Linked DNA regions of Rhinolophus ferrumequinum. The protein of the gene in region 1 interacts with the protein of each later gene in a pairwise test. Links are inferred from orthologs where the notes say so. Each region holds a gene or a part of one and is shown on either strand. Other genes may lie near its edges. The genes, in order: myomegalin, CCDC146, TNIK and IMMT.

Region 1 (7,249 bases):
TCTGACAATTTTGTGTAAATTGAAAAACGTCTCCCATTTTCTGCTTAAGTTCTTATTGGATACAATTTTACAATTTCATTTGTTACCTAGCTCTAAATTTCTAGGATGATGTTGACCTTAGCAGGCTTTCCAAAAATGCCTTCTAGATTGTCCACCCTTGTAAAGGTATCACTAAAGAATTTGTATCAAGTAGAACATACCAGATGTTTCACAAAGTTAACTGAACCTAGCATTTACTGTTGCTATAGAAACACAACAGCATCTGTCAGGTCCCTGTATATAGCTGAATTTAAAAGGCTGGCACGAAATCAATTCGGCAGATATGAACAGCTCAAACTAAGATCAATTGCCATATCCTGGTCATTAAGAAATTCAGAGAGTATAATGGATGAAACTTTCCTATCACTCAATAATGGATGAATCCTCTCTTAATATCATTACACATCTCCTAAAGAAGCTCAATAGACTAACGGGCTGGGAACAGTTTTCGCCTTAACATTTTAAATGACAACCCTTGAATTCCCAAGTCTCTTTTATGAGCAAGTCATCATTAGTCCTCAAATGACCTATTACTTTTGTATAAATATTGTCCACATGTTACAATATTTTGGTGAATTAATAGGTTTTCCCCAAACCTTTACCCTATGCTCTAATCTGTTTGAGGCGTATCGGGGATAAAAGGTTTAATGTTTCAGGGAGAACTAACTCCCTTACAGAATGAGAGAAAACATCTACAAATCTAAACACGAAAACAAAACAAAAAAGGGGGTGAGAAGGGGGAAGGAGGGAAGAGTTCTAGTGCCAGAAGTAAGATTATATGTCTTTTCATTGGGTAAACGTGAATTAGAAATCTTTATCTTTTTGTCTTGAAAGGTCTGCAGTTTTGATAATGAATGGGAAGGCCAATATTGTTACAAAGAGGATTATGAAAAGCAAATTGAATGTGAATCTCCTTTACTGGGACACATTTACTGGGTCTCATTTAAATGGGACACAAGCAAAAGGTGCAACAAAAATGGGTGCAATGATTATTTTCTTAATTCTAGAAATAATATCCTTCAGTCTAGACTATTATTAACCTTCACCTAGACAGAAATCACGTGAAGCCTGGGGGCCAGAAAACTATGATCAAAGAAGCACGATGTAGCCATTTTGTATACCTGAACCCGGAGTGGCAAATATTCTTCACAGAGATCATCCCACAGCTCCTGCAGGTCTGAAATCTCCAAGGGATAACTGACAGGTGTCTTGTAAAAGGGTTTCAACGACCGGTTAAGGAAAGCAGAACTAACTCCATCTGTCATGATAGGGCCAGGCCTGGCTCCAGGTGGGCTGGATTTCACCGGAATGGGAAGCTTGCTCCCTCGGGGGCTCTGGATGGGTTTATAATCAAGACCTTTAATCATGCTAAGAGCTAGCTCCAGCTTGTGGTTACACACAGGCTGGGGAGCCGGGTCATCTGAGCAACAGTCACACTTGACAAGTTCCTTGGCGCTTCTCTCAGTCTCCTCGTCCTTTTGTTGTGGAGGACTAGCCTGGACGCTTGCATCCAAAGATTCCACTGAGGATCCCGGTGTCCCTTCCTCCATGCTTTCGCCATCGGGGGGTCCTTTGGTGCCGGGTAAGTCCGGTGGCCCCACCTCGGACAGTGCTGGTTCTTCAGTGCCAATGCTGGTGGACCACCTGGAAGAAGGGCCGCACGAGATACTTCGGGCCACCTTCCGAGGCACTTTACAAATGGCTTCATAGTCAGAGTCGGCAACCCGCAAAGCTGCACAACCGCGGCATCTCCTGGGACGGTGTCCAGCGCCTTCCGAAGCGTGGCAGCTGTGGAGCTCCTGGATCTGGTCCTCGTTTTCCACCCAACACTCGAACCCCGAATAGGCAAAATCTTCCTGCAGCAATGCAGAGTACCTCACGTCGGGTAAGCCGGAAATGTCCACCGTCCCACTCCCCGCCTTGGGCTCCGCGCCAGGGTCATCGTTATTCTTGCGATACATGCTGGCAATGCAGAATTTGAGGCGGTCCTTCTCCAGCAGCAGCTTCTGCAAGCGCTCGATGGAAAGGGCTTCGATCCGGGCAATAACGGTGTCGAATCTGTAGATCCGATCGAGCATGAAAGCACACTTGCTGCAAGCGAACTCGGCTTTGCCGTCGCGGGAGACATCCTTGCCCAGGACGTGCGAAAGCAGAACCTGGAGGTTGAGCTTGGACGTCGTGTGGAAGATCCAGCGCCGCTGGTTCCCGCACAGCTCCCGGGCACAGATCCTGCAAATCTCCTTCATCTTCCCTCCCGGCGGCTGCCGCGCTTCCCTGAGGCGCCCGCTGCTCGGCGATCACTCACTGGCGCTTGGCTGCGCTCCGTCTCCCGCCTCGGTGGCCTCCCGCCGGCATGGCACAGCCCCGGGGGGTCCCCACGGTGCAGGGGCGCCCCTCTTCCGAGCCCCGCGCGCGAGCTCTGGGTACCAGAGTGGTCGGCCCCGCCCCTCGGGGAGGGCGCGGGCGGAGAAACGCCTCAGGGGGATGCTGAGTGACAGCCGCGCAGGCCGCGCTCGGAACCTGCCATGTCTCCGCCAGCTGTCTCTCCCGCCAGCCGCCGCGTCCTCAGCGTCCTCGCTTCTAGCGGGCTGGGCTCGCCGTCCCCTCGCCGCCGCCGGCCGCTGACGCAAAGGCTCGGAGATTGAGGATCAGATTTCAAGATGGCGCCAGCGGCTCGCGCCTGCGGCCACCCGCACGTTCCTCTGGGAACTGTAGTCCTGGAGGCCGCACCCCCGCTCTGCGCATGCGGGGTGGCGACCGCGTCTCCCTCACCCCCCAATCGGGTCACCGCTCCTCGCGGTGGAACACAGACCTGGCTCACAGTGGGTACCCAGGGGAATGCGGGGCGGACGCTGACTACCGCCAGGCCACTTTCATCGTTTGAGATTCCACCGAAAAAGCGCACCACTTCCCTCCTGGATCCTCACTGTCGCCCCTGCAGGATGTCCCGAGGCGCTGCGTGGGGAAGAGAAAGCCGAATCCCCTCCCTCTCTCCCCACGGCTAGTGCCACGTACTCCGGATGGAGCCGCCGGGCCGCGCCGCGCCACTAGGTACCGCTGCGCGCCGCTCCCCTCCCGCCTGCGGCCCCACCTCCTCTCCCTCCCCAGGCCGGTGCCTGCGTTAAAAGGCCCTGCGGCTGCAGAGGCCGGCGGGGAGAAAGGGTTCTTAAACCAGAGGAGGCAGGTAGGGCGGATTTAAGGAGGCTCCGTTCTACCTCTCCCTCGGCTATCCGGAGTATGTACAGAAGAAGACAAGTGTTGGAGGGTGTGGGTGGTGGGTTTTAGCACTCTGATGACTTGCGCCCACCCCCCTTTTTTTAACAAAAGAAATCAAGGGAAGGCACAAAGCAGTCACCTGAGAAAGAGTCCCGGAAATACCACGTGAATGCAGCTGGTTAACCAAGATTTTGTAGATAATAGCAGACAAAATGGACTTTTTCAAGAATGTAGACACCTGAGAGTAGATTACCGTCACCCAGTTCTCTTTCAGGTTCAGGTAGACTACAGTCCTTATTTGAGGGGTGGAGAGGGTAGACAGACTCTGGAACAAAAGCGTCCAGCGTGTGAGGCCGTGCTGCTCTGTGCAGACTTAGGGCTGGGAATTGCACTGACTTCAGTTAGTACCATGTCTTATTCACCACCATACAGTTGTAAGTCACCCAACCTTGGGTGTAGAATTTGGGCGCAAGCAAACACTGGAGGGAACACGGAGCTCTGACCAGGAGGGATCCAGGTGTTAATGTACTTTTAAAGAATTTTCTTGGCTTTGAGAGGCAGGCAGACACCAAACAGGAAGAAAAACCGACCCAGCAATCACCTGGAGCACATTTCCCAGTGACAATAATGCTAAATGTCACTAACTTGACCTTGTGAGAGGTCAAGGCAAACAACAGTATTTAAGCACTGCTGAACCTCATCTGCAAGACAGAACCCACATTCCTAAGCCTGGAGACATTCAAATGCCTTCAGTGAGAGCTCATAAAAGCCTCCAAATGTCTCGAGGGTTAAATGAGATGATTTAGGGGAAGTACTTTGTAACAATGCTTAGCTCCTTAAATAATAGCTAATACTGTAATTTTAATATTTAATATTTAATATTTAATACTGTTATTTTGATATTGTAATAAAGGGACTATTTTAAAGTAATTTTAAAACTTTATGGGGCTCTACACACATAAGATTGTACTGTTCTGTCATTTATTTTAATCACCAAAACAAAAATCTTAGTAGCTCCGTTGGAAGACAGGTCAGTCCTTAGAGCTTTGGGGCTTCACAGGCTCCAAAACTTTGCGTATGTGATTTCACCTAAATCTGCGTGTTCTGGCCCTCAAACCAAAGACGAGAAAAAGAGTAAAACTCATTTCAGCTGCATTTTTGCCTGCCTCTAGGTATAGGAACTCTAAAGTCAGAAGAAATTAAACAACAGTCTTTGGAATCTATATGATCTAAAGAGAGGCAAGGTGTTTCTGGCCTACAGGACACGACCCTGCTGACGCTGTCTTAAGTATTGTCCTAAACAGCAGCAAGGACTCAAAACTCCATAAAAGTGCAAATTCAAAAATTTCCTAACAAATTAATCAAGCCTCATCTCTGACTGAATGCAAGCCACGTTTTCCCAGGGGGTGAAAATGCTAATGAAACAAAGTGCTTTTCAGGAGCAAACTAAAGAATACTTTGTAATATTCTCTGTTCCTTAATAAAATTGTGCATCTGGCCGAGCGTCTCTAAACTTGAATGAGTATATAGACAGCTTCGTGTAGAAGTGCAAATCAGTATAAATGGAGAAAAGGCGATTTACCATTGGAGAATTTGTTTGCTATAAGTACAGATCAACATACCAAAAGAGAGAGCTATACATATCGAGGCTTTCAACAACAGATCGGAATAAATCACTCAATCAAAGAAAATTTGAAGCTAGCACTCTATTCACTCCTAGAGAAAATATGTAAAAACCATATTTCAAAATGGATAGTAAACTTTAGTACTAGAAATAGTCCTAACATAATCATTTGTTATTATAAAATCATTTCATCCCAACTAAAAGATCACTGGTGTGTAGACAGCAAAACTTGAACGCAAAAATTGAAAAATAAAACATAGAAGAAAACTGTAATACTAAATTTAAAAATTAAGATAAGAGATAATAAATTCAGCATTTCACGGTCCTCACGAATGTCATCTTGGTCAAGATTTTGTATTTAGTTAACACTGGCTACGTATGGGAAGGCAAGCAAAAGGGGGTGGGGCTCAACAAGAACATTTACTTTTATTCTATATACCACGTGTCATTTGAATTTTTGGCCATGAATGTGTAGTCGTCTATTATTTTTTAATTTTTTTTAAATTTAGAGAATATTCTATAGTAAAAACTAAGAACTGAGCCAATTTAACACACGAGTATCAGAGTCTAAGTAGTAAAACATGAACCTAAAATGAGAATCTTTGTAACGTGATAACTATATATATTACATATATGTGCACAACATATAAACAAAGGTTCAAAGGGAATATACAAGTTATTAAACAGCAATTATGTCTAGAGAATGGAATTATGGATGCTTATTTTCGTCTTTCCTCCTTGATATTCTATCATTTTCTATAATAAGCATGTATTGCTTTCGTGATAAGAAAAAAAATTATTACTAAGAAAAAGGTAAGCAAAAACACATTTTCATATATTCATACAATGCAGTACTAACCAGCAATAAAAAAGAAAGAACTTTGATGCCCACATGAATGAAGCATGAAACAAGTCATATACCCATCAATACGTCCCATGAGATTCCATTTATTTTAGGTCTAACAACAACAAAAAAAGAATCTATAGTGCGAGAAATTCAGGAAGTGATTTTAGGGGACGAGATAGGGTGAGAATTGACAGTAAAGGGGTACAAAGAAATTTTCTGGGGTGATGAAATTGTTCTTTATCTTGATTTGGGTGATGGTTACATGGATGTGTACAACCATCAAAGCTCATATACTGAACTCTTAGATTTGTAGATTTTATACATGTTGGTATAGTTCAATTTATAGAAAGATAAAAAGGGGTATATAAATATAAAAATATATATTACCCATAAACTTTTATCTGATGGATTTCTTTGGTAGAAAGTAAACCCCACTTTATCATAAGAATAGGTTTGAAAATTGAGAAGATACATTAGAACCCAGAAGAATCTAGAACTCTTTCTATAAAAGGCCCAATTGCACATTCAAAACTTTATGGTTCCTATCCATATGAGCTTTGGAAACTATTATATGTCTGTGCACACCACACAGTTACGATTGAAGCATGCCATGTTGTTAAGGTGAGATTTCGGGATTTTATGATCATTTAGAATAGGATGATTATTTCTAAAACGTATCAAAGGTACATAAGAAAGGAAAATTTGAGAACAGGTTTCATATTGTGACAAACTATTATAAATTAAACAAATTATTCATTTGCTATATCAGCAGTTTGCCCTCAAAAATGGATTGATGAGTGCACTCCCAAGCACTTGTTAGCTGTATGTCCTAGGTGAAATCACTAATAACTGGTCCTTAATTTCCTAATCTACAAATGTTGAATTTAAACGGTTGTTTTCAACCTTTGGCGTACGTTGGAATCAGGGAGGGTTTGTAAAGACACAGAGATTGCTGGGACCTACTTACTAGAGTTTCTGATTCAGTTGGTCTGGGGTGGGACCCAAGAATTTGCTTTCCTAATAAATTCCCAAATCCTGCTGTTGGCTGCTGTCTGGGAGCCACACTTTGAAAACCACTGAATTAAAACAATCCTAAACTGTATTCAGTAAAATGTCAGTCAAAAGATTAGACACTCTGCAGATAAATGGGAAAACCCATCAACGAAGAACTACTTACAAAAGTGTTGACGTTAGAGAATTATCACTAATTTGGAACAAACTTCCTAAATATTAGTATGGCCAGGATCTTTTGCACTATCTCTCTTTTGATCTCCAGATCATGGAGCCCTGGGAAGGCTCTCTTAGAACCTTAGCCACTTTTGTACCCTCTGTGTTGTAGTGTTTCTAAGACCTAATTCTGGGTGAGGAAGGAGTTTCCAAGAGAATGAGATGTGGAAAATCCCCATGTCTCAAGCCAGTTTTATTAGGTTTTCATTGCCTTAGTTATGACATTGGAAATAGCTGTTCTAATTACTAAAAACTACGCCCCCCCCCCCCCCCAAAAAAAAAAAGTGATTCTGGAA
Region 2 (8,004 bases), on another chromosome or scaffold:
TCATAACTGAGAGATGTGCTACTGGCATTTAGTATGTAGAGGCCAGGGATGCTGCAATGCACAGGTCAGCCCCTGACACACAGAATTATCTGGACCGAAATGTCAACAGTGCCAAAGTTGAGGATTCATTTTTCATTTTATGCCCACAATGGCAAAAAAAGAGAAAATTGACAAAAAGATCTTTCATAATTACCAGATAAATCAAAAGATGAATGATAGCAGCATACTAGCTTCTAATTTTGATTTGAAACTGAAAATCTAAGACTCTGAATCTTCATCTGCGTGGTGAACATACAATGCAATATACAGATGATGTATTATAGAATTGTACACTTGAAACCTATATAATTTTACTAACCAATGTCACCCCAATAAATAAAAATTAAAAAATAATAAGACTCTGAGTCTTCAGAGGACAATATTTTATATGAATTTTCTGAAACTCAAGCATTGATGAGTAAACTATATATTTCTAAGGAAAAAAGGAACTATGGCATTTCATCCAGGTAATCATCCAACATGAAGATTTCACTGTGCAATCTTTTATAAGAACCTGAACTATCTCATTGTGCTGAAAAAGGATATGTTACAGTATTCTTTAATCTTTTATGAAATTGGTGCAACTAAATTTATTTGGAATGGTTTACATGTGGACAGATGCTAAATGCAAGTATGCAAATAAAAGTGTTTGGAACAAAACTAATAACGTGCAAGTTTTTAAATGCATTAATTACTCTAATTAGTTTATGAATCTAAAAATAAAAATGTTTTGCAATTATGAAATAAAGATGACTGACTTCTCTTCAACAAAGTTACCTGCCACCAAAGTTAACAAAACTATTGTGTTTTGAACATGCAAGTATAAGTAGTACCAGTTCTAGCAAAGATATCTAAAACCTATTAGAGATATATTTGAAATCATCTTCAGCTAAGACCAATCTAATTTTAAGAAAATTAAATATTACACTTGAAACCTACATAGTTTTACTAACCATTGTCACCCTAAAAAATTTTAATTAAAAAATTTAAATATAAAAATGTTATTACAAAACAAGATGAATCATTTGTTGTTTATCACAAATACCTACTTAATCCTTAAGTAATGAGCTACCTGGTACATTAAACATGTGATTAATCTAATATTTTAAAAATGTACTATTATTTTCATGTATACTTCAAAACGAAATCTAAAAGAAATATGAGGAAAAAACTTTCAAAGTTGCTACAACCTCTATATATTCAGAACAGAACTAATGTCTAGGCAAAATTTTTGCAAGTAATTTCTGAGTAATGAATAAATGATATTCAATATTCTCAAAATGGTACTCAGAATAATAGCTTTAGCTTGATATGGCAGTTCATGGTTTAAGGGTTGTTTTAAAAATAATATTGAAACAAAATTAGAAAAGTGCTTATACCTTAATAGACTGTAAGATGCTAGTCCCCTGCTCAGTTTCAATATTGCAATAATCACATTCAATATTTTGGACTTTTATACAGCCAGACCCTGATGATTTGATATTCAAGTCTAGAAATGAAAAAAGAAAAAAACAAGTTAGTACCATGGTTAATGGGCTCCAAAGCATATTCGTACCCCCTAGAAATCCAGCTCCTCAGTTATATCCATAATTACTGAGCCCTGGGGAGAGCATAGTCGTCAGTAGTCTCTCCCTAAAGGTAAGGGGTCTCCACCATGCCAACACCAAATGTAATGCCCTTTTCTGCCAGTTTTTAGAAATAAAGTAGTTTTCGTTGGCCTGTATCATCTAAAGAGAGAAAGTAATATAGGAGGGAAATAAGGGAGGTCAGAAACTCCTAATCTTATAGGCACTCCTGGGAAAAGAGAAGCTTTTTTCCCACTGAAAAAACACACACATACACAGAGTTCGAGTAAGAACACAGCAAGTTTAACAGTCATTATGGTAAACTGGATAAGTCAGTTAGCCTCCTCTCTTATATTCATTAAGATTTAAAAATTTGTTTCCAACCCTCCCCCAAATTAAAAAGCATTTTGCAGGAGTAGCAGGATCAGTATATATGATCATAACTTAGTATTTCAAGTCCTATCTCTAACCTTTCATATCTAAAAAAATAAAGATATTACCACGCAGGTATATCAAAAGGTATTTTCAGTAATGAAAAATGGGAACAACTTTGAAAAACATAGTACTAAACGATATTAAAACCTCAAAATTGTGGATAAATAACAGTATTATCTGAAGAAAATTGGAAAATAAGGAGTCACAGGTGGCATCCTTGGCTGTCAATTTAAAGTGTAATCTTAAGTGTCTCTGTACAAAAATATAAAATAAGAAAACACTGACATTTAATACCTAACTCAAATAAATATTGATGATTTTACTTAAACTAGACTAGAGAAGCAAACACTATATTACCCCAAACACAAACTACTGGGGTGCAACACCACAAATTCAGTAGTTATGGCATAAAAATCAATTTCTTAAATATGTCGCAGTCTCTATAAAGATTTAAAATAATAGCAATATTTTGGTTGGGATTAATCTAAAATACAAAGACAATTTTACCCCATATTTACCTGGATGCAAGTGTAACTGCAAAATTTTTACCCAGTTAAGTAGTGTTACAACATAAGGCTTGACTAACACAGCGTTGATAGACATGGAGAAAGGAAAACAGATTCTAAATATAGTCTACCCTCACTAGACAGGTAGAGAAGTTAAGGCTAGACATTGAGTGACAGTAATACTACTTTCATCCATTCACTGAAACAAGTATCAACAAACTTGATGAATAATAAAGTATGAAGAAAACTGAATTATATTGATTTGAGGAGCTATGGAATAGACACATGGAAACAGTGAAGTGGAAATGGGGTTCTGGCTCTAAAAAGTAGAATCAACAAATAAGAAGGTTTGGGATCACCAACACAGGTAGTTCCATTTTTATTTGTGCTGCCATAAAATTTGGTGTATCTCTATCACAATACTTCCTCTACTTTGTACTACAATAACATTTTGGCAGATCTTCCTCCCCACCCTAGACTGTTACATTTTGAGGTCAGGGTCTCTTATTCATGTAAGCTAGTTAGAAGTTGAGAAGCAATAAAGCACAGTGGTTAAGCAGACTCCAGTCAATTCAAATTTCAGTTCCACCACTTCATCTCTGAGAGCAAACAGGCATACTTCTTGATCTACTCCTACTAGAATATAAACTTCACAAAGGCATGGATTTTTTTTCTATTTGTTCACCCACAATAAATATTTACTTTATGAAACTTGCTGTATCTCAATTTCCTTATCTGAAAGTGTGACAATAACAGTATCTACTTTATAAAGCAATTGTAAGGATTGAAAAGATCATCATAGAAGTGTTAGCTGCTGTTATGATCATCAACATATCAGTCCCAGGAAGGAAGGGAGCCTGGGGAGACTTTCCTACAAAAGTGTTGTCTTGTATTTGAGAAATAACATACAACCCAAATACCTAGAACACACATCTTGCAGGCATTATCAGTTGAAGTTTTCCAGATAGTGTTACCATGTGTTTTTCTTCAAAACCTGCCACTCTCAGGAAATTTACTTAGGCCAAAATGAATGGAGACGCATCAGTTAAGAAACTGGGTGCCTATTTGAAACCAAACACTTGGTCCAGGTTAGAAATGGAAAATCCAATAGACAGGGCTGTTTGGGGACAGACCCCCAGGCTGTGAGCAGGGGGAAATGTGGATGGACTGCCATACACCATTGAAGGGATTATCAAGCAAAGTCAACCTCCCCAAAACAAAACACTTTGCTACTGACAAAGCACAATGAGTAATAGAAACAGGAACAAAGTGCCAAAGGAGAACGTTAAGGGGCTCCACAAATGTCATTTCACATAGAACATTCCAAACCATGTTTCCATTCGATTCATAAAATGTCTATAATTGGGAAACTAATTCGTAACCACTAGGGGGAAACTCAAAGTAGGACAGAAAAAAGCTGCAGCTTCCTCAAGGGACAACTGTAAATTAGGTTGGAAAGTCAGATCCAAAGGGACCAATTAAAAGTGCACTTCCGCCAAATTTGAGGAGGTCCTGGGTGTGCCCTGGGACCCAAACCCGTTGCAACGTCATTTCACTTGCCAAACTTCAGAGGCGCGATCACCTCCACGGACGCCTGGGGGTCAATGGTGTCAGACACAATGGCCACCTCCTTCCGCGCCTCGTCGTACTTCACCTGCAGGTCCGCCAGGTCCTGAGCCCCGCCCTCCACTCCGCTCACCGCGACCAGCACGCGGTCGGCGTCGGGGTATGTAAGGGGGTCCAGGGGCCTCACCGCCAGGTGGCACGGGAGCCGCGCCCGCAGCCGACCGAACGGGCTCACCAGCAGCTCCCACGCCTTCAGAGTCCGGTGCGCGGGGCCAGGCTCGGACCCGGGCCCGCGCTCGCCCCCACCTAAGCCGGAAAGCCGGGCCTGACAAGCCCGACACGCCCAACGTCCGGTGGCCTCGCCGTCCCACACTCTGAGCTGCCGGAGGCAGCCGAGTCCCCAGCCCCAGCGAGGGGCGAACATGGCGCGCCCCTCTCGCGCTCCCTTCGATCACCTCACTCACAGCCCAGTCTCGCCACCGCCAGTCGACTTTGCACCGATGTGCAAAGGGTTTGCTGAAGTAAGAGCAAGACTGCTCGCTATATCCCTCAATTTAAAATCTCAGCCGCTCATGCCTCAACAGCAAATTGAAATGTCAAAGCTCTAAGTATCCACCCTGACCGGACATCTCGCCTACCGACCTCCCTTTCGCAAAGGCCGATGGGATAGGTAGTTCTAAAGGGAGCCAAAGAGCGAAGAGTTCCTGGCAGCTCAGAAACTACATATCCCAGGAAGCAATGCGCAGGTAGTAAGAGCAGGTGTAGCCTACTGCTCCGAAGGCGCGCGTTCTTTGCCTCAACCCCATTAGCCATTGGAGGGACGGAAAGAAAAATCTACATGGCATCCAACTGGCCAATGGAAAGAGCGGAGAGGGCTAAGTGGCAAGGCTGTGTGGTTTCCTTGGATACCGAGGACGCGACTTCTTTAGAGAGGGTGGAGCTTTGGAGTGAGACCCTGGAAGCCATAACCTACAGAGAAAAATAGGAGCCTAAATAAGGATCAGTATCAAGGGAAGGGGTAAGAAACTGCAGTTTTAAAGGTGAAAATTAGATGCAAACTAGGAGTACCGTCAGTGGGTGGTTAGGTCCAAACTTCACAAAACTAGAACGGGGTACCCAGGGATGGAGGATCTCTAAGGTAAGAGGATAAAGAGCCAGATTGGTACTTTTGAGTGAACTCCCTCTTTGACAACAAATATAGGAATAGCATTAGAGTCCTGCCTCCTTCTTACTCTTAAGTAATCTTAGGCCAGTCATTGGACGTCTCTGGGTTTTAATTGCTCGCTTTTAAAATGAGGTCAATAATACCTTCCTTGTCTTGCCTCAAAGGGTTTTTGTAAGGATCAAATCAGATAATGGACTCGAACGCGGTGCACAGGCTACGAAATTGCAGTGTAAATAAAGTACTCTATACTTATTTTAGGGATAACATTGCTCCTAAGTTACGAAAAGAAAAGCTGAGAGATCAGGACTTGTGTTGACAGCAGTATCGATCTCTTTAACTACAAATGATCCTCGGTTTTAGGGCTAAAATGAGAGACAGAGAGAGAGAGGGAGGGAGGGTGGGAGGGAGAGAGAGAGAGAGAGAGAGAGAGAGAGAGAGAGAGAGAGAGAGAGAGAGAGAGAGAGAGAGAATATCGTGCAATAGGAAGAACGTGGGACTGATTATTTTCCTGCCTCTGCACCTGGTTTGTGTGTGTCACCTGGTCCTGTTTCTTCAACCTTAAGATGATGAGGAATTGCACTAAATGACTTTACCTTTTATTATTCTGTGGGTAATTTAAAAAATGGAAAAGAAAAGATTTATTTCCTCATTTCCTGCTTCTCTCTCCCTTTCTGTGCCACTTCCTCCTCCTACAAATTATTCCCTAAGTTCTTAGTAAAGACACACTGCAAACAATGACGTTTAATAAAATTCAAGTGTAGAAACTGAATGCCTTTAAAAAACAACCTTTGGCTAACTGCAATAATCAGAATTACTGAGAGCTATCCTGATAGAGAAATGTCTTAGTGAGCTGAGCTAAGGTCCATTATGGGCCCAAGTCATAGAGTTTTTTTGCTAGCCAATACATTTTCAAAAATTCAGTGTTTTCTTAAGTTATTCTTTCCTCCTTTCTGTCCTCTTAGTCTTTCCTCCCTCATTATTCTTCCTCCTAGTGAAGACTCACAATAGGTGCTAACTTTTAGATTCACCAAGTTCCCACTGAATACTAGTTCAGTCCTTGGCTTTGTGTTTTATTTGGTCGTAATTATTCAGACTGATCTTCAAATTGTCTTTTTAATGAAGACCCACGGGAATAACTTTGAAAAAGAATTTGATAAAGGCGTTTGTTTAAGCAAGTTGAGAATGCACTCATATGTGTTGTACATGTGCCAAATATTTTTAGGTTAAATAGGAATCCCTAATAGATAATGTTGTTTCTATGGTAATTTTTTCTTTTCTGAGACACACCAAGTAAATGGAATTGGCAACTGAACCTTCACTGTCTGTGGCAAAATGATTGTTTTTACTATTTTGAAGTAAACATAATAAAACTTAATAGACTGAAAAATTTCTGATCATATGACTTCGAAAATGAATGAATGGAGAATCATACGTAGATAACTTTTCCCCCTTATTTAGAGTGTACTTGTAAGATATTTTTACATCTTCAGTTTTAAAAAAGCTATTCCTATGGTCATGAACATATACTGCTGGTGGGAGTGTAAGTTATTACAAACTTTCCAGCGTTCAGTTCAGCAATATGCATAAACTTCCTTAAAACATATGTATTCATGACTTGGAAATTATACTTTTTGGAATTTAATGTAAACATAAAATTTGGGCTATTCAAAAACAACTTATGTTTAAGGAGTTTTGTTTTACAGGGTTACTTAGTAAAGATAGTAAAGAATTGAAGCAACTTAAATGTCCAAAAATAGGAGAGTCACATAAATTAGTATTCATCTGGAATATTATGGAACAATTTAAAATTTATATCTTGAAGACTATTCATTGGTATGGGAAAGTTCCCATAATATAATTGTAAGGGGAAAACCTATAGTTCTCCTTCTGTGAGTGTCCCCTTTACTCTCACATTACTGCCACACTCACAACAATTCATTGCTGACACTCTAGTAACCAAGTATATGGGACTTCTCCCCACAACAGGCCATTCTCTGCGACACTAGCTGGGTGTCCTACGATTTAACTCAATTGTGACACTATGTGGAGATAATGTCAGGTTCCACAGGTTGAGAGCTCAGTCCCACGAGACTGCTCACACCCACTTCAGATGCTAACGGCAAGTAGTAGGTCCCTACCTTACCCACAACTTCTGTCTGATTTGGCTACAAATCGGTGCTTCCCACAACCCCTTCCTTAGATTCAATTAATTTGCTAGAGTAGCTCACAAAACTCAGGAAAACCTTTAACTTACATTTACCAGTTTATTAGAGGATATGATAAAGGACACAGATAAGTAGCCTAATGGATACATAGTGTGAGGTCTGGAAGGGTCCCGAGAGCAGGAGCTTCTATCCCTATGGAGTTGGGGTCACCCTCTCAGGGTGGATATGTTTACCAACCTGGAAGCTCTCTGAACCCCATACTGTTGGGATTTTTATGGAGGCTTCGTCGCATAGGCATGATAGATTATTAACTCTATTTTCAGCCCTTCTACTTTCTCAAGAGAATGGAGATCAGGGCTAAAAATTCCGCGATTTCTAAGCATGGCTTGTTCTTTCCGGTGACCAGCCCTCATCCAGGAACCATCCAGGAGACCACCCAAAGTCCCCTCATCAGAACAAAAGGCATTTCTATCACCCAGGAAACTATAAGGGTTTCAGAAGCCCTGTTTCAGGAGCCAGTGGCAGAGACCAATATATATATATTTTTTCTATTACCTCACAGT
Region 3 (6,840 bases), on another chromosome or scaffold:
TTGATTGTGTACATTAAAGAGCCACTGAAACAGCAAGGGACTGGTAAGGCTGCAGCAAATTCTCCTAGAAGCCACTGACCTTGGCTGCATTTCAGGGGTCAGGCATTCCCAAAAGGTTCTCAGCAGGCAGGCTGAGGGTTTAGGAACACATGAAACCTCTCATCTCAATGAACCCACTTCTAATTGGGGAAGACAGAGACAGATGATCTGTCCTCTGATTTGTGAAAATTACCTATATGGTCTTTGGACCCACTCCTGGCCGACACACCTCACCTACCACAAGACTGGTGGCAGACCCCAGCCCTCCCACTGTCTCCACATCTGCATGTAAGTCCTCTAGGCAGCAGGCAGCCTGTTCTCCAGTCTCCTGGGCTAGCCTTAGCCCTCCCTCCCTCTTTCCATACCTCCTGCAGGCACAAATACAGAGGCAGAGCACTCAGCCCAATTCACAAATTTCAGTGAATCTTGCAAAGATATTTTTTCAAAATATAGATCTCAGGAGTGCAGGTCTCCCATGTGTGAACTGCCTCCAGAGCTGCTGGCGAGCGCTCAGGGTTGCCCACAAGCCCTGCAGGCTCTGTGCTCAGTATCTCAAAAACCCTTCCCCAAGAAAAACCACGAGAGACACCTCTGACCAAGCCCAACTTAAATTCAGAGTGCTTTCCATTACAGGAGCGATGTCAAGATTCTGACTCAGGAAATTCACACGTTTCGCCCATTGTTCAGATGCCTTCCCCAGCCTTTGCCACTTTCCCCCACTCTGAAGTCTGGACCATCCATCCACCTGATTAACTGGCTGGCACCAACTCCCAGTGCAGAAAGTAGGGCAAATGAATACACACACAGTCTGTAAAGGAAGCGACAGACTCAGCCAGAGCATCCACCCTGTTACCAACCCCCACCCCCAGCTGCCCAGGGGGCATGGGATTCTGCATGTGGCATTTCAAAGGCAGTAAAATAGGCAGCTTACTGTAATGATGCATGAATGAGCTTTTGCTGCCCAGCTATCAAAAACGCCAGTTACAAATGGCATCTCTGTTCCTTCTCAACCCCTTGACTGCCTTGCAGAAACCTCACCTTTTGGATGCAACGATTCAAGAGAAGGCGAGGAGGAGTTAAAAAAGAGAGAGCTAGGTAGGGAAAGAGGATTAATGACACTAAAGAAAAAGTGACACTTTGACCATAAAGATAGCTCTTGAAAATAACAGTGGAGAAGGAGGCAGTATCCAGAGAAGTAGTGGAGATTCAGGGATATAACCCCAAGATGCAGTACAGTCTAACAATGTACTCCTCAGGATAGAACGTGAACTTCCAAGCTTCAGCCGTCCTGCACGTCCCTGCCTTGAGAGCCACCATCAATTCGGTCTCATCCACCCTCCATGTCTCCTGTATATACAGTTGCTTTTTTAAAATTTTATTTTTGGTTCAGGAGTGGAAGAAGCCGGCTGTAAATTGGAATCTACTCCTTCTAAGACCCCTGCTGCTGTGGCCACCCCCACCCCTCATCCCCTTCCCGGCAGGCAGCATCCAATTAAAATGGCAAGAAAGCTCTGCCCCCTTCCCCGAAGGAGAGTGTTGAGATTGGGGGGTGGGGGTGGGGAGGCGTCGAGGCTGCACTGGGATTCCTGGGATTCTGGTCTCAAAACAACAGCAAAATGGATTCTATACCAGTGATGTCTTAGTCAATACAATGAAACGGTGTCTGAGGCAATTCACGTGAAGGTAAACGCAAGCCGGTGGGGCTGAGGGTTGGGAGGTGCTCTACAAAGGACTGGCCACAGACAGGGAAAACACACACACACACGCACACACACACACACACACTCGGGAGTTCCGGTCTGATTGGGGAACAGCAGAGAACACATCCCTTTCACCTGCTTAAGTTCGCCATAAAACTGAAATGTCACAGCCACAAAATCAGAAAGCACAGGCTGGGCTCAGTTTAAACCATAAATAAAGGTGAGTGGCAGACTGGCCATTAAGAGAGCGCTGAGAGGGAGTCGGGGCGCGGAAGGCAGAAAAGGGGGGAAGAGGGGCCGTTGCCATCTACAAGACCAGCATAGAAACAGCTGCCCCTTCGGAGAAGCAGGGACCACTCCGTGGGAACCACCAGGCTCATAATGTCATCTTACAGGTAACTGTAAAACGTGAGGGGCCAGTACCTTTATTCACGCTGTTATTCTTTTTGCAGAAAGAATCAGGTCTCGCGCCTTGGCACGAGACGACTGCCCCGGGCTTGTGCGCGCACACACATACTCACACACACACACACACACACACACACACACACACACACGAGCCTTTCATTTTAATGCGCTTACAAGGGTCTAAGATGAAACTGGCATAAGCTCCACACGCTCCTGGGGGTTTTTCGGCCACAACCAGTGGACACGTACCGTACAGCCCCTGCTCTAGGGGCTTCGGAGAAAGCACCTCAGCAGCCCCCAAATCCAAACGAGAACCCAGGTTCCCTCCGCGTCGCATTCGCCCGCCTCTGCCTACCAGCCCCAGTCGACGCTCCGATCCCATTCACCCTGACCCAAACCACGAGAAAGAAATCAGAAAACGTTCTACACTCACCCTCAGAGCCGAGAGATCGATTTCATCCAGGCTGCGAGCCGGAGAGTCGCTCGCCATGTCTACTTCTTCGCCAGAGAAATGGACCAAAACCACCCCGAAGCTTTTCCCTTGGAAATTCCACCTTGGTCTATTTCACTCGCGTCCTCATGCGGGTGTCGCGCCAGAGGCCCCTGGGCCCAGCCTCCCCCGCCCGCCCGGGCTCCACTGCGCCGGATCCTGATCCTCGGCGCCTGGGTCCGCCCGGTCCAGGAGCCCAACCTGCGCTGATCTCCAACCCCGGAGCAGCGGTGCGTGTGGGCTGCGCGCCCTGATCGGCTAAAGGCGCTGGGGCTGCGTGGGTGTATTTAAATGGGACATGCTTCTTTGCTTGTGCGTGGATGGCGGCTGCATTGGCTGTTATAATGAGACACATCAACTCCTCCACTCAGCTGGGGGGTGGGGGTGGAGAACCACACAGAACTGTCTATCATCGCTTCCTGGGAGGAGTAAAGGGGAGAAAGAGGCGGAGGAGGCGTGGCCTCCGACTGGGGAGAGGCCGCGCTTCCTGACCCGTTCCCTCTGCACCAGAGTGGACGGGGGAGGGGCGGGCACCCTTTCCTCCCAGGCTTTTGTGGACTAATAGGGCTGGCTTTGAAGAGTTGTTTCTTAACCCTGCGGTCCTTATCGTAGAGGCAAAGGGGCTATTTGAACACACACATTATTGTATGTCCAATTCGTGCGCTGCAGCAATATGGCCATTTAATCGCATCTGGCGGTTTCTCGGCAGGGTTCAAATGCTGTAGCGCTGAAAAAATCCAGGGAAAAAAAAGAGCGACGCCCTCCCTCCCCCATTAATTATTTGTGGGGCTGGAGTAACGCAGGCTGGTGCAACCGGTGCATATAAGGACTTGTGTGCAAGGAAAGGGATCCGCCTCCAGCCGCGGAACGAATGGGGGAGAACGCGCGCTCGCACGGTGCGCCCTGCCCCGCGCCTCGGCAATTTGCCCCCGCGGCTAGGTGGGGTCCGCCAGCGGCCCGCGGGCTCCCGGATGGCGGGTCACTCGGGTAGGAAGGTTTCCCAGAAGCGGGAAAGCTGGGAGTCCGAGTTCCCTCTTCGCACCGCCACACCCAGGACCTGCCCGTGCCGCAATTCCCCCACGGAAACAACCGAATTGAAACGAGAAGCTTGCTCTCTGGGTGCACTAGCTCTAATTCTTCAGGTAACTCCAAAGGCAACACTGGGTAAGGCAGCGCACGCCGACTCAGGACTCTACATTTGTCTTTCAGGGAACGTTACCGCGGCTGATCTACCCAGATTGATGGAGAAAGTTTGGCTGGCGTATGAGATGTAACAGACGAGATGTGCGACCAGAGAGCAATCCCACTCCACCCGCTTTCTCATTTAAAGGCTGAACATTTACAGTGGTAAACATGACATTCAAGAGTAATCAAGAGTGTGAAGTCGCTTCCTCAGCCCTGCCACTGCCCTCCCTAGCCTTGCCCATCCTGAATACATACGTAGAAAGAAACGCTAAAATTGAACTTTTGCTCAAATACAGCAGTAGCTTTGAAAGCATCACCGTTGCACCTCTGTTAAGATAAGATTTACTTCTGGCCAAATGCATTGAGGATTTTTTTTATCGTGTAGATACCAGCTTAAGAATAAGGCTTTTGAATGAATGGATGGATGGATGGATGGATGGATGGATGGATGGAAGCCCAAGCAGTTAGTTCGTCAGGACTGCAGACATTAGAAGGCTTTTAAACAGCATTCGATAGGCGCTGTGCTGTTTTTGTTATTATTGTGTTTATATGCACTGTGCATCATGAAACTTGAATAAGATTACAGCTCAATGGCCACAGAGTTGTTTAGGAGCTTTTGCCATTAAAACGACAAACGTTTAAACGTGTTATATTCAAAACGCTCTATGTGATCTCTTATTTTTTAATAAAATCATCCAGCTCAGGGTGGTAAATAACGGTTTAGTAAGCCACCGAGTAATGTCGAAATGACGTAGAAAACTATCATTTCCTATTATTATCCTTATTTTTCCCATCTAAGTGCCTTTTTTACCCTTAATCTAGATGACAAGTGTTGAATAAAATTAAGTAAAATCAGGTATTGAGATCTATGAACAGCACTATTGCTAAAACTCCGAACATATTTAAAATGAGATAAACTTTGTTTTTTTCATGGAGAACCTTCATTTTATACTCCAGATTTTATTTGAAACATCAGAAATGGATCATTTCTTTCGGCATTAGTATGCTGTTTCAGACCATGAGAATGCCGTAATACCGGCACTACATTCTACCCTTGGATTTAGAGTTAGATCACAAAACTATATATTCTGTCATTTGGTACTACATGGGAGAGGGCTTCCTAGGAGCCCGGAGGATGACAAGAGTCAGGTAGAGGCAGGGGTGCTGGCTGCAGGAAATACCATAAGAGGAGAGGTACAATAGCCAAGGCACCTCCAGCTGCTAAGGGAAGAAAAGGAGGAAACTTGAAGCAGCTGGTGCTAGAGGTGGAGTAATAGTGGTTACTGGCCTGAGGAAGACAGATCAGATCAGGTAGAGCTTGGTAAACCTCCTGCCCTGTTGTTATTTGCTTAATATTTTCTTTGAATCAACATTTTTTTTTACATTTAAAAGGAAACATAAGTTACTACTATAAATGGAAAGCTAGCAACACTTGCTAAAAAGAAAAAAAGAAGAAGGGAACCATTAAAATAAATATAATGGAAAATAAAGCAATATCATTAAATTCTACTTAGCGATCATGGCCTGCTTCAGGCTTCTATTCTGAGGCCTGCTGTTAGGTAGTTGTTAAAAGAGAGGTTAACAAAAGCCAGAAAAGTCATTCAAAATTTTACCAAAGTGAGATTTTCTTCTGGGTGTAATCCGAGAGATTGAAAGAACTGCTATCATATATATGCAGTTTGAAAGCCTGCAGAACAATACGATATTCTGTTTATATCTATCTAAATATAAAAAGCATGGACATAGGCTTGTATTCTGTTTATATCTGTCTTAACTATAAAAACCATGGACACAGGCAGGAAGGATATAGATTAACTTCAGGATAGTAAGAACGGAAGAAGAAAACTAAAATGGGAAGGCACAAAGGAGCTCCAACAATGATGTCTAATTTATTTTTTTAAATATCTCAAGCAAATATTGCTAAATGCTTGGAATTGCTAAATCTGGATCATTACACTAATGGCTATTCATTATATTGTTCTCTGTATCTTTTTGTATATTTGAAATATTTTTGTTTTAAAAATATTTATAAAAAAGAGAATTCCAAAGGGGGTTATGTTCTCTGTATTAGGTTCAATGTTGTTTATTGTCAAATCCAACTAAAATAAACATTGTGGAAATCAGTAACACTGCTGGTGGAGCTTCTAAAAGCACACTGTACATCTTATGTCACCACAAATTCCTAAATATAACAGAAAATATATTTTAAAAAATTCATTAGAGTTCTAGAAGACAAAAAAGGCAGCATCCATGGTCTAGCAATTCAGAGGACTTCCTAGCGTATAAGACACAGGCAGGATTGGACTGCCAGTTGAGATACAAACCAAAACTGTATGGGGTGGGACCAGAGTGAGAGCTGGGGCAGCTTCAAACTCAGAGGCAAAGGCTAAAAAGAGCAGGTACTTTCATCATGAAGAACGATTAAAGAATGGCATCCATTCATTCTTTCATTCATTCAACAACTGTATGGATCATTTACTCTGTGCAAGACACAATACGAGGCCCTGGAGATTTTCCTTCATAGAGTCAGATAATACACTTATAACTAATTGATAACTAAGATTATTTTAGATGGTGGTAAGTGAAATGAAGAAAATTAAGCAAGGTAATGAGAATTAGCAGGTGGATGTGTCCACCCCCAGCCCTGACACCCACTATGAGTATGGGCGTTCGGGCCAAGGAGACAGGGTATCACCCCAAGGAACTGATCACCAAGTGCTAAGAGAAATGGGACCACATACACCCACAAGCAGAAGGTAAACTATCTGCATGCCCTGCCTTGCACCATGTCCTCTCCGGCCCCGCTTCCCAACAACCACATTCAGCAAAGCAAACACTCAGAATTAGAATCCACATCACAAATAGGCAAATGAGATTTCCAAACAGTAAGATGAGTAGATAACCCAGAACACTAATCATTTGTGGAAACCTATTACTATGAAAGAGAGGCACTAACTACAGTCAACAAATGAATTAAAACACCCAAAGTTATTTTTAATAGCGCAAAAAGAAGTTTTA
Region 4 (7,793 bases), on another chromosome or scaffold:
GATAGTTTGGCAGTTTCTTAGAAAACTAAACATACCCTCACCATTCAATCCAGCAATCGTGCTCCTTGGTATTTACCCAAAGGAATTGAAAACTTATGTCCAAAAAACCTGCACATGACTATTGTGAGCAGCTTTACTTTTAAGTGCCAAAACTTGGAAGCAACCACAACATCCTTCAATAGGTGAACGGAAAAACTGTGGTACATCCAAACAATGGATTATTCAGTGCTAAAAAGAAATGAGCTATCAAGCCATGAAAATACATGGAAAAACCTTAAATACATATTACTAAGTGAAAGAAGCCAATCTGAAAAGGCTACATACTGTATGATTCCATCTGTATGACATTCTGGAAAAGGCAAAACTATGGAGTCAGTAAAAAGACCAGTGGTTGCCCGGGGGTGGGGTAGTGATAAATAGTTAAACTACTTTTAGGACAGTGAAAATACTCTCTATTATGCCATAATGATGGAAAATGACATCACACATTTGTCTAAACCCACAGAATGTACACAAAGTGAACCCTAACGTAAACTATGGACTTTGTGTGTTATGATGTGTCAAGTAGGTTCATCAGTTGTAACAAATGTCCCACTCTGATGGGGGACACTGATATTGGGGAAGGCTGTGCATATGTAGGGGTAGGAGGTACATGGGAAATCTCTGTACTTTGCCCTCAATTTTGCTGTGAACCTAAAACTACTCTACAAAAACAAAGTCTGAGAGAGAGAGAGAGTGAGAAAACACCTTGGGAGTTTATTTAGAGGTACATGGGGGAAGCAGACTCAACAAAGGAAAACAGGAGAGATGAAGGGTAAGATGGGCCCCAAGATATTACCTGAGAAAAGCCAAAAAAAAAAAAAAACCCACAAAAAAAATTTCACTAAACAACAGTATAAAATGCTACAGAATGATTGAGGAGATAGTAAGAATAAACCATTTTATAAAAGTTGTGGGGGAAAAAATCTTGTAAGATAGCAGTTTTAGGAAGGTGAGAAAGGTTGGTTGCAAGCTAAGTCTTAATCTGTTTTCTTCTAATTTCCTGACTGGGAACAAAGCAAGGGGAAAATATTTTGATAAAAGCAAGAAAGGAAAAAGTAATTTTGGACTTTAGGGCAGACAGAGGGATCAGAGCACTGACAACTCTGATGCAACCTGAGGACAAAATAAGGAAAAGTGTGCCACTGAAAGGAGGGCTCCAAAGCCAAACTTCAACAATTCTGCCCTGAAAGGCAGCTCTACTTTCTTCATCCTTCTAGCCCCACTTAGGGACGACTGTATGTCAGATTTTAAGAAGGCCCCCATGATCTCCACACCCTGCTGCTAAGGCCATGATTAGGGTTGTATGGTAAAAGGGATTTTGTAGATGTCATTCAAGTTACTAATCAGTTGACTTTGAATTAATCAAAACGGAGGTTATCCAGGTGGGCGTGGCCTAATAATAGAAACCCTTTCCATCTGGGTCTAGAGATCAGAAACAGGGAAGTCAAGAGAGATTTTGAAGTCAGAGACCAGTTCCTGACAGCCTGCAAGAAAGCACACATCCATGTTATGAACTGCCTCTGAGGATCTTGTGGCAAGGAACTTCAAGCAGCCTCTGGGAGAGAGAGGCTAGGCAAAGCTAGCAAGAAAACAGGGAGTTCAGTCCTACAGTTACTAAATTATGTAAGGTACTCAATTATGCCAACAAACTACGTGAACTTGGAAGAGAACCCTGAGCTCCAAACAAGAACCACAGCCAGCACCTTGATTGCAGTCTGTGTGACACTGGGCAGAGAACCCAGGCCATTCATGTTCAGAAACTGTAAGATAACAAATGGGTGTTGTTTTAAGTTGCTAAATATGCGGTATTTGTTATGTAGCAACAGAAAACTAATACAGATCCCATTTAAGAGGCTGCTTCTCCTAACCTAAAATGAATCCGGGGAGATAAGCAAACTTGAAAAAACATTGGCTTTTATGATTTCTATCTAATTCACTATGTCTAGGGATTTTGTTCCATTATAGCATGAGCACTGTTTTGCAATACAACATTTTGCAAAATATCAATTTTCTGAAAACTATAAGCAATGGAAATAGGTTTACTTTTTAATTTTAGAAAGTTACTTTGATAATTGCGGAGAAATAAAACTGGGTATCTAGGTGCCTTGGATGTCTGCCAAAGTTGTCCCAGCACCTTATCCCCAGGCTAATCTCAGAAATAAGCACAAGGTCATCACTACTGTCCTTTCTCAAGTACCAAGAACTGGAACTCCATAAACTACAATCTTTCATTTCTGTTTAGGGTAAGAATGGCTGAGATGTTCTCAGCTACGAAAAGAAAAGTCCCTCTGGAATAATTACAGCCTTAACCCCTAAAACGCGGACTCTAACAATCCAAGCACCTGCTTATTAAAAATGCACAAAGCCAAGGCTCTGCATTTCCTGCTGGGAACTGTAGTTCTACCCCTCGACCTTCAACCACTGGCTGCGCGAAACCTATCACGCGCTCAACCGGCGTCCCGGCTCCAGGAGCCACGATTGGTCCTTGAATGGGGCAGCGAGGGGTTGATTGGATAAGTCCCCAAAGCCGAGCGTCCTGTCCTGCGCCCGCCTCCCAGCCATCTCCTTTCCACACCCCATCCCGCTTCAGCAATAACCCTCAAGGCATCCCTGTCCGGCGAAATTAACCGCGTGCCTGGCCCGTCCGGGACTCCCGTGATGAGGATGGCCCTGAGAGAGCCCCTCTGTTCCCGGGCCTAAGCGGAGCGAAAGCCTCCCTCTTCATTTTCCGTCGGCCGCCGGGAGTCAGCTTCACCACGCGTTCTCTCCCGGCGCCCTCGAGCTCACCTGGGCTGCGGAGGTCACGCCGGAAAACTGACAGGCCCGCAGCATCTCGGCCGGGAGGACCGCACCGCTGGTATACTCCGGCGCTGCCGCAACGGCACTAATAGGGGAGCGCCTGCGTCCGTGCGTACGTGCGTCCGGGCCGCCTCTCTGCGCCTGGCGTATCGGCGGACATTAACGCCACTGCGCACGCGCAGCTCCGAGATACTAGTGGGTCCTCCCCTGGCGGAAAGATTGATTTCTTTTTCCGGGTCGCGCTGGGCGTTCTGATCTGTACGCCGAATCCGGCGTTAGTAGGTGAACTGGAGGGGAGGGTGGGCCTGTGAAACTCAGGCTTCGATCCGTATGGAAAACGGATAGGCGTGACTCTTCGGAGAATTCAAAGAAGAAAGCATCTCAGCTGTCTCTGTGGGATAGCTATTTCGCAGAAAGGATTCAGTTTGGCCAAACGGTGTTGTCTTGGCTTGCGCGTTTGTTTCGTTTGACAGCTCTTCTTCTGGAGTCTTCCTGATTGCGGGAGACTGTGAACGAACACTGGAGAGACTTTTGTGCGTAATGTGTCGTTCACGTATCTAACAAATGGCAGAGCAGGGACAGGCACCGAGAGTCTTCGGATTTCATAGCTTCTGCTCCTTCCAGGTCAAACTACACCGCTTTCTCCAAGTTTTTATTTTAGAAAGGTAATTTGGCCGCGGTCTGTTGGAAGATAAGGTCAGTGCAAAAACACTTCAGAATATTCCACTGAGTCTGTAATCAAGGTACAACCTATTAAATATTGAACACAGTATTTAATACTATTAGTACAATGTCATAGAAACTAAATGACTTGTATATTTATTGTGTTTGCAAAGTACTTTCAAGTCTTAACTAGGTAATATATTACGGTATGGTAGACAACGCTACTAATCCCATTTCTAAAATGGAGAAAGATTTAAAAATTACCTAAAATCAAATAATTATATTAGTATATGCTCAATGCTTTGAAAGGTACTGTAGTAATCACATTGCTCTCCATTTTATATCACCATCACCCAGTAGGCTCCAGAGCAATCTCCCATCTTTTTTAGTAATTTTAGCAATTGAACTCCAATCTCCCCACCCATCCCTGCCCACTGTTGTCATGCTAGGTGATGCCAGTGTGATGACTTTTCTAACACTTTGGCCATAATCCTCTCAATGCCAATGAGCAATTTCAGTCTGCTCCAGCCATGTATGGCACAGCCACACTTTAGAGCTGAATACCATTAGCAACTTCTAACCTCTCATTTAACCAAGTCCCTAATCCTCATTCTCCACATGCAATTTATGAATTTTTGTTGGCTTTAAAATGGACTCTCCTAAAGTAACTCAGAAATTTAAATCACTCCCCTGTTAAAAAACTGCAGTGACACCCACTGCCAACTCAAAGAACCTTTATGAAATGTCTCAAGAGTGCTTTTCTACCATATGTGGATGTTTCTAGGATCGAAGTGGCCACTGTAGGTGGAGATCAAGATAGCAATAAGAGTGTTCCAAGCTCATCACCTACTTATATGCCCTATAACCCAGAGAAACTGAAGGATAACCATCGCGGTGATTCTCAAAGTGGGATCTAGGATCCCTGGGGAGCCTCAGGCCCCTTTTCAGGGTCCATAAAATAAAAAAGACCTCCATAATATTAAGATATTTGCTCATTCATTATCTCCTAAGTGTAGAGCTTTCCAGATACCACAACAGATTGAATGCATAAGCAAATTTCAGAATCCAGCTTCCTGTTAAACCAGACCTTAAAGAGATGTGCAAGAAGGTTAAACAATGCCACTCTTCACACTAATTTCTTTTATGTTGGAGTATTTTTTATGAAAATATGTTAACATGTGATAAATTGTTGTTTAAAAATAAGTGGGGTAGGCAGAATAATTATCCCCAAATATGTCCACATACTCCTGATCCCTTGCACCTGTGAATATATTACCTTAAATGACAAAAAGAACTTTGCAGATATCATTAAATTCATATCGAGATGAGGGTACTGTCCAGGACTATCCTGGATTACCTGTGAGGGTCCTGAGGAATGAAAGAGGGCTAGGAAGGTCAGTCAGAGAAGGAGATATGACAATGGAAGTAGAAGTCAGAGTGATGCAATTACTGGCTTTGAATATGGAAGGAGGCTGTAAACCAAGGAGTACAGTTAGCCTCTCGAAGATGGAAGAGGCAAGGAAACAGATTCGCCCTTAGAGCTTCCAGAAGGAACACAGCCCTGGATGCCTTGATTTTAACCTGTGAAACCCATTTTGGATTTCTGACCTACAGAATTATAAGATAATAAGTCTTCATTGTTCTAAGCCACTAGGTTTGGGTAATTTGTTATAGCAGCAATAGGAAACTAATACAAGTATTAGTTTATTTTTAATTTTTTCAATTTTAATTTCCAGTATAGTAAATACTAATAAATATAATTAAAAGCTCTTTGGGGTCCTGAATTTTTAAACATGTAAAGAGGGTCTAACACCAAAAAGTTGGAGAACCACTGCTCTAAATAAATCCTGTGTCTTTCTGTCTTGGCTCCCTCTCTTCTTACCTTAACCCTTGGTGTTCTTACTGCCAACAATGATCTTGCCCATGTTATAACCCTTAACTTGTTTCAACCAGCAAATAGTGCCATATATTGTATATGCATGGAATATCTCAGACAACAAGGATGGGAGACAGGTTCATTGGGTTTTTTTGTTTGCATGAACATTAGAAAAAACATACAATCACTAATTCCCAGGAATAAACTAAGGAAGGTAAAATTGTTCAGGACGAGTTGAAATTCTGTTCTACCAAATGACAGTCAGTGTTATTGATTAGAAAAAATGTGTGTGATATCCTTAGGAGGTTTACATTCACTTGATTATAGTTGGCATTCAATTTTTAAAATAATTTTTAATCATGTTGCTATTTCTCATTCTTCTACCAGTTTTGGAAAAATAATGTTTTATTCTCAGAAATAAATTGAATAAAATGAGCAAAAAGATTGTTTCACGTATGTCGTGTATTTTAAATATTTTTCAAGCAAATGTTCAAAAAAATTTATTGAGAGCCTACTATATGCCAGGCACTTGTTTAACAGGAATGAAGGACAGCCTGGCATATACAAGACGTTCAATAAAAATTGATTTGATCGTTCCTTTATTAATTTTTTTTCCCTTTCTTTGACTCCACCCAGATTACTTTTCCTTAATTCCCCTTTGCCCTGAAGCTTTTAGATCCAAGCCGGCTGCCGTACGGCGGGGTGGCAAGATGGCGGCCCCTACATTTGCTAGTGCGGTGAGAGCAGCAACAGGTTAGTGGAGAGCAACGCGCTCGATTTTTACGTTCACAGAAGGGGGGACTGGTGCAGGATGGAGTGGGGGTTTAGCGTGGAGGTTAACGGGAAAAAAAAGGAGGGGATCATTATTTGATGCCAGAAGGTGCCTAATTTTCTCCGGGGCTGCCTGTATTCGGCCGCCCAGGAGATCCCCGAGACTCTTGGACCTTCTTGGATCTGGGTGGCTCGTAGTTTCCGCATCCTTACCGGCTCCTAGCCTTCCCTCGAAAGCAAACGAGGAGAGGCTTGGAGATGGGCGAGGGAAACAGAAAATCCCCACCTAATTTTCTGATTCAGAGCCTGGGACCCACCATTCACGACCTTTGACCTTGAAAACGTCTCTCACAACTTAAGATTCTACAACTCTAAAATAGGGATAATACCACCTACCTGAGGACTAAATGAGCTCCAGCATGTAAAGCGCCTTGAGTAGTGCTGGCACAGTAATTTTCTATGTATGGTATTCACACAAGGTACAGGGACACAGTGTGGCTGTTTTCCTCACTCAGCCCCAGACACAAGGGCAGTCATAGGATTTCTTGATTGAGATGACAGGAATGAAGGCAACTTAATTTATCTGCCTAAGGATTTTTGCAAAAAATTAAACATCATTCAAATATGATAAGATTATGAGTAAATTATTCACAAAAAAATAAATGATAAAATTCTGTGGAAGAATAGAAAGAAAAAAAATGCTACCATGTAAATTTTTCCAACTGTTATACAAGAGCTTGTTTACACGGGGTATTTTTAAATTGTAAAATACAACAAAGAAAAATTTATGTAACATACATGAATGACTTAAATACAGGCTGTACCTCATTTTGTGCTTTGTAGATATTGCCTTTTTTTTTTTTTTTTTTAACGAATTGAAGGTTTGTGGTAATCCTGCATGGAGCAAGTCAGCTGACACCATTTTTTTCCAACAGGCTCAGATAATGGTTAGTATTTTTAAATTAAGGAATATATATATATATATATATATATACACACACACACACATATATGTGTGTGTGTGTGTTTAGACATGTTATTGCACACTTAATAGACTACAGTATATAATGTAAACATAACTTTTATATGCACTGAAAAACCAAAATTCGTTGGACTTGATTTATTACGATATTCACTTTATTGTCGTGGTCTGGAACCAAACCCACAATATCTCTAAACTCTAAAGCAAACATCCCTATAACTAACCCAGGTCAAGACATAGAACTTCCTCTGCACCCCAGTGAACCTCCCCAGTCAAAAGTCCCTTTTTTTTGCCAAATGTAAACACTATCTTCATGGTTTTTATTACCTTGTCTTTTTTGTGTGTGAGTTTTAGCATCTCTATGTGTGCATCTCTAAGTAATATGTTGTTTAGTTCTTCTGTTTGTGTTTTACATGAATGGTATCACACAGTATGTCTTCTTGTATCTTTTACTTTGTTAAATTCATTTTGCACGTAGCTGCAGGGCTTTCTCATTGCTGCTATATGATAGTCTCTTATGTGACTACACCACAATTCTCCATTTTACTGTTGATGAGTATTTGGGTGTTTCTAGTTTGGGACGATTAGGTACAAAGCTGATTGACCTCATGTGCTGGTACATGAGTGCTGGGGTTTCTCTAAGGTAAGAGTGTGTGTGTG

The links.
Region 2: the proteins of myomegalin (region 1) and CCDC146 interact in binary tests that used the Homo sapiens proteins (3 or more experiments, as listed by UniProt). The two-hybrid records come from large-scale screens. The link is inferred for Rhinolophus ferrumequinum from reciprocal best matches to the Homo sapiens genes PDE4DIP and CCDC146.
Region 3: the proteins of myomegalin (region 1) and TNIK interact in a two-hybrid assay, tested with the Homo sapiens proteins (2 studies listed by BioGRID and IntAct). The link is inferred for Rhinolophus ferrumequinum from reciprocal best matches to the Homo sapiens genes PDE4DIP and TNIK.
Region 4: the proteins of myomegalin (region 1) and IMMT interact in a two-hybrid assay, tested with the Homo sapiens proteins (2 studies listed by BioGRID and IntAct, with this or other methods). The link is inferred for Rhinolophus ferrumequinum from reciprocal best matches to the Homo sapiens genes PDE4DIP and IMMT.

Annotation. Positions count from the first base shown.
Region 1 is NC_046305.1:49,320,650-49,327,898, reverse strand, and holds the start of myomegalin, read right to left. Parts: upstream 3,005-7,249; 5' UTR 2,286-3,004; coding exon 1,161-2,285; intron 1-1,160. UniProt on the Homo sapiens protein: Functions as an anchor sequestering components of the cAMP-dependent pathway to Golgi and/or centrosomes.
Region 2 is NC_046303.1:46,629,562-46,637,565, reverse strand, and holds the start of CCDC146 (coiled-coil domain-containing protein 146), read left to right. Parts: upstream 1-4,997; 5' UTR 4,998-5,129; exon of another isoform or gene 5,130-5,249; intron 5,250-8,004. Other genes in the region: protein FAM185A, read right to left, coding at 1,419-1,528, 4,106-4,535. UniProt on the Homo sapiens protein: Essential for sperm flagellum biogenesis and male fertility.
Region 3 is NC_046285.1:71,065,523-71,072,362, reverse strand, and holds the start of TNIK (TRAF2 and NCK-interacting protein kinase), read right to left. Parts: upstream 3,008-6,840; 5' UTR 2,638-3,007; coding exon 2,581-2,637; intron 1-2,580. UniProt on the Homo sapiens protein: Serine/threonine kinase that acts as an essential activator of the Wnt signaling pathway. Recruited to promoters of Wnt target genes and required to activate their expression. May act by phosphorylating TCF4/TCF7L2.
Region 4 is NC_046296.1:8,225,138-8,232,930, reverse strand, and holds the start of IMMT (MICOS complex subunit MIC60), read right to left. Parts: upstream 3,013-7,793; 5' UTR 2,875-3,012; coding exon 2,830-2,874; intron 1-2,829. Other genes in the region: MRPL35 (39S ribosomal protein L35, mitochondrial), read left to right, coding at 6,091-6,133. UniProt on the Homo sapiens protein: Component of the MICOS complex, a large protein complex of the mitochondrial inner membrane that plays crucial roles in the maintenance of crista junctions, inner membrane architecture, and formation of contact sites to the outer membrane.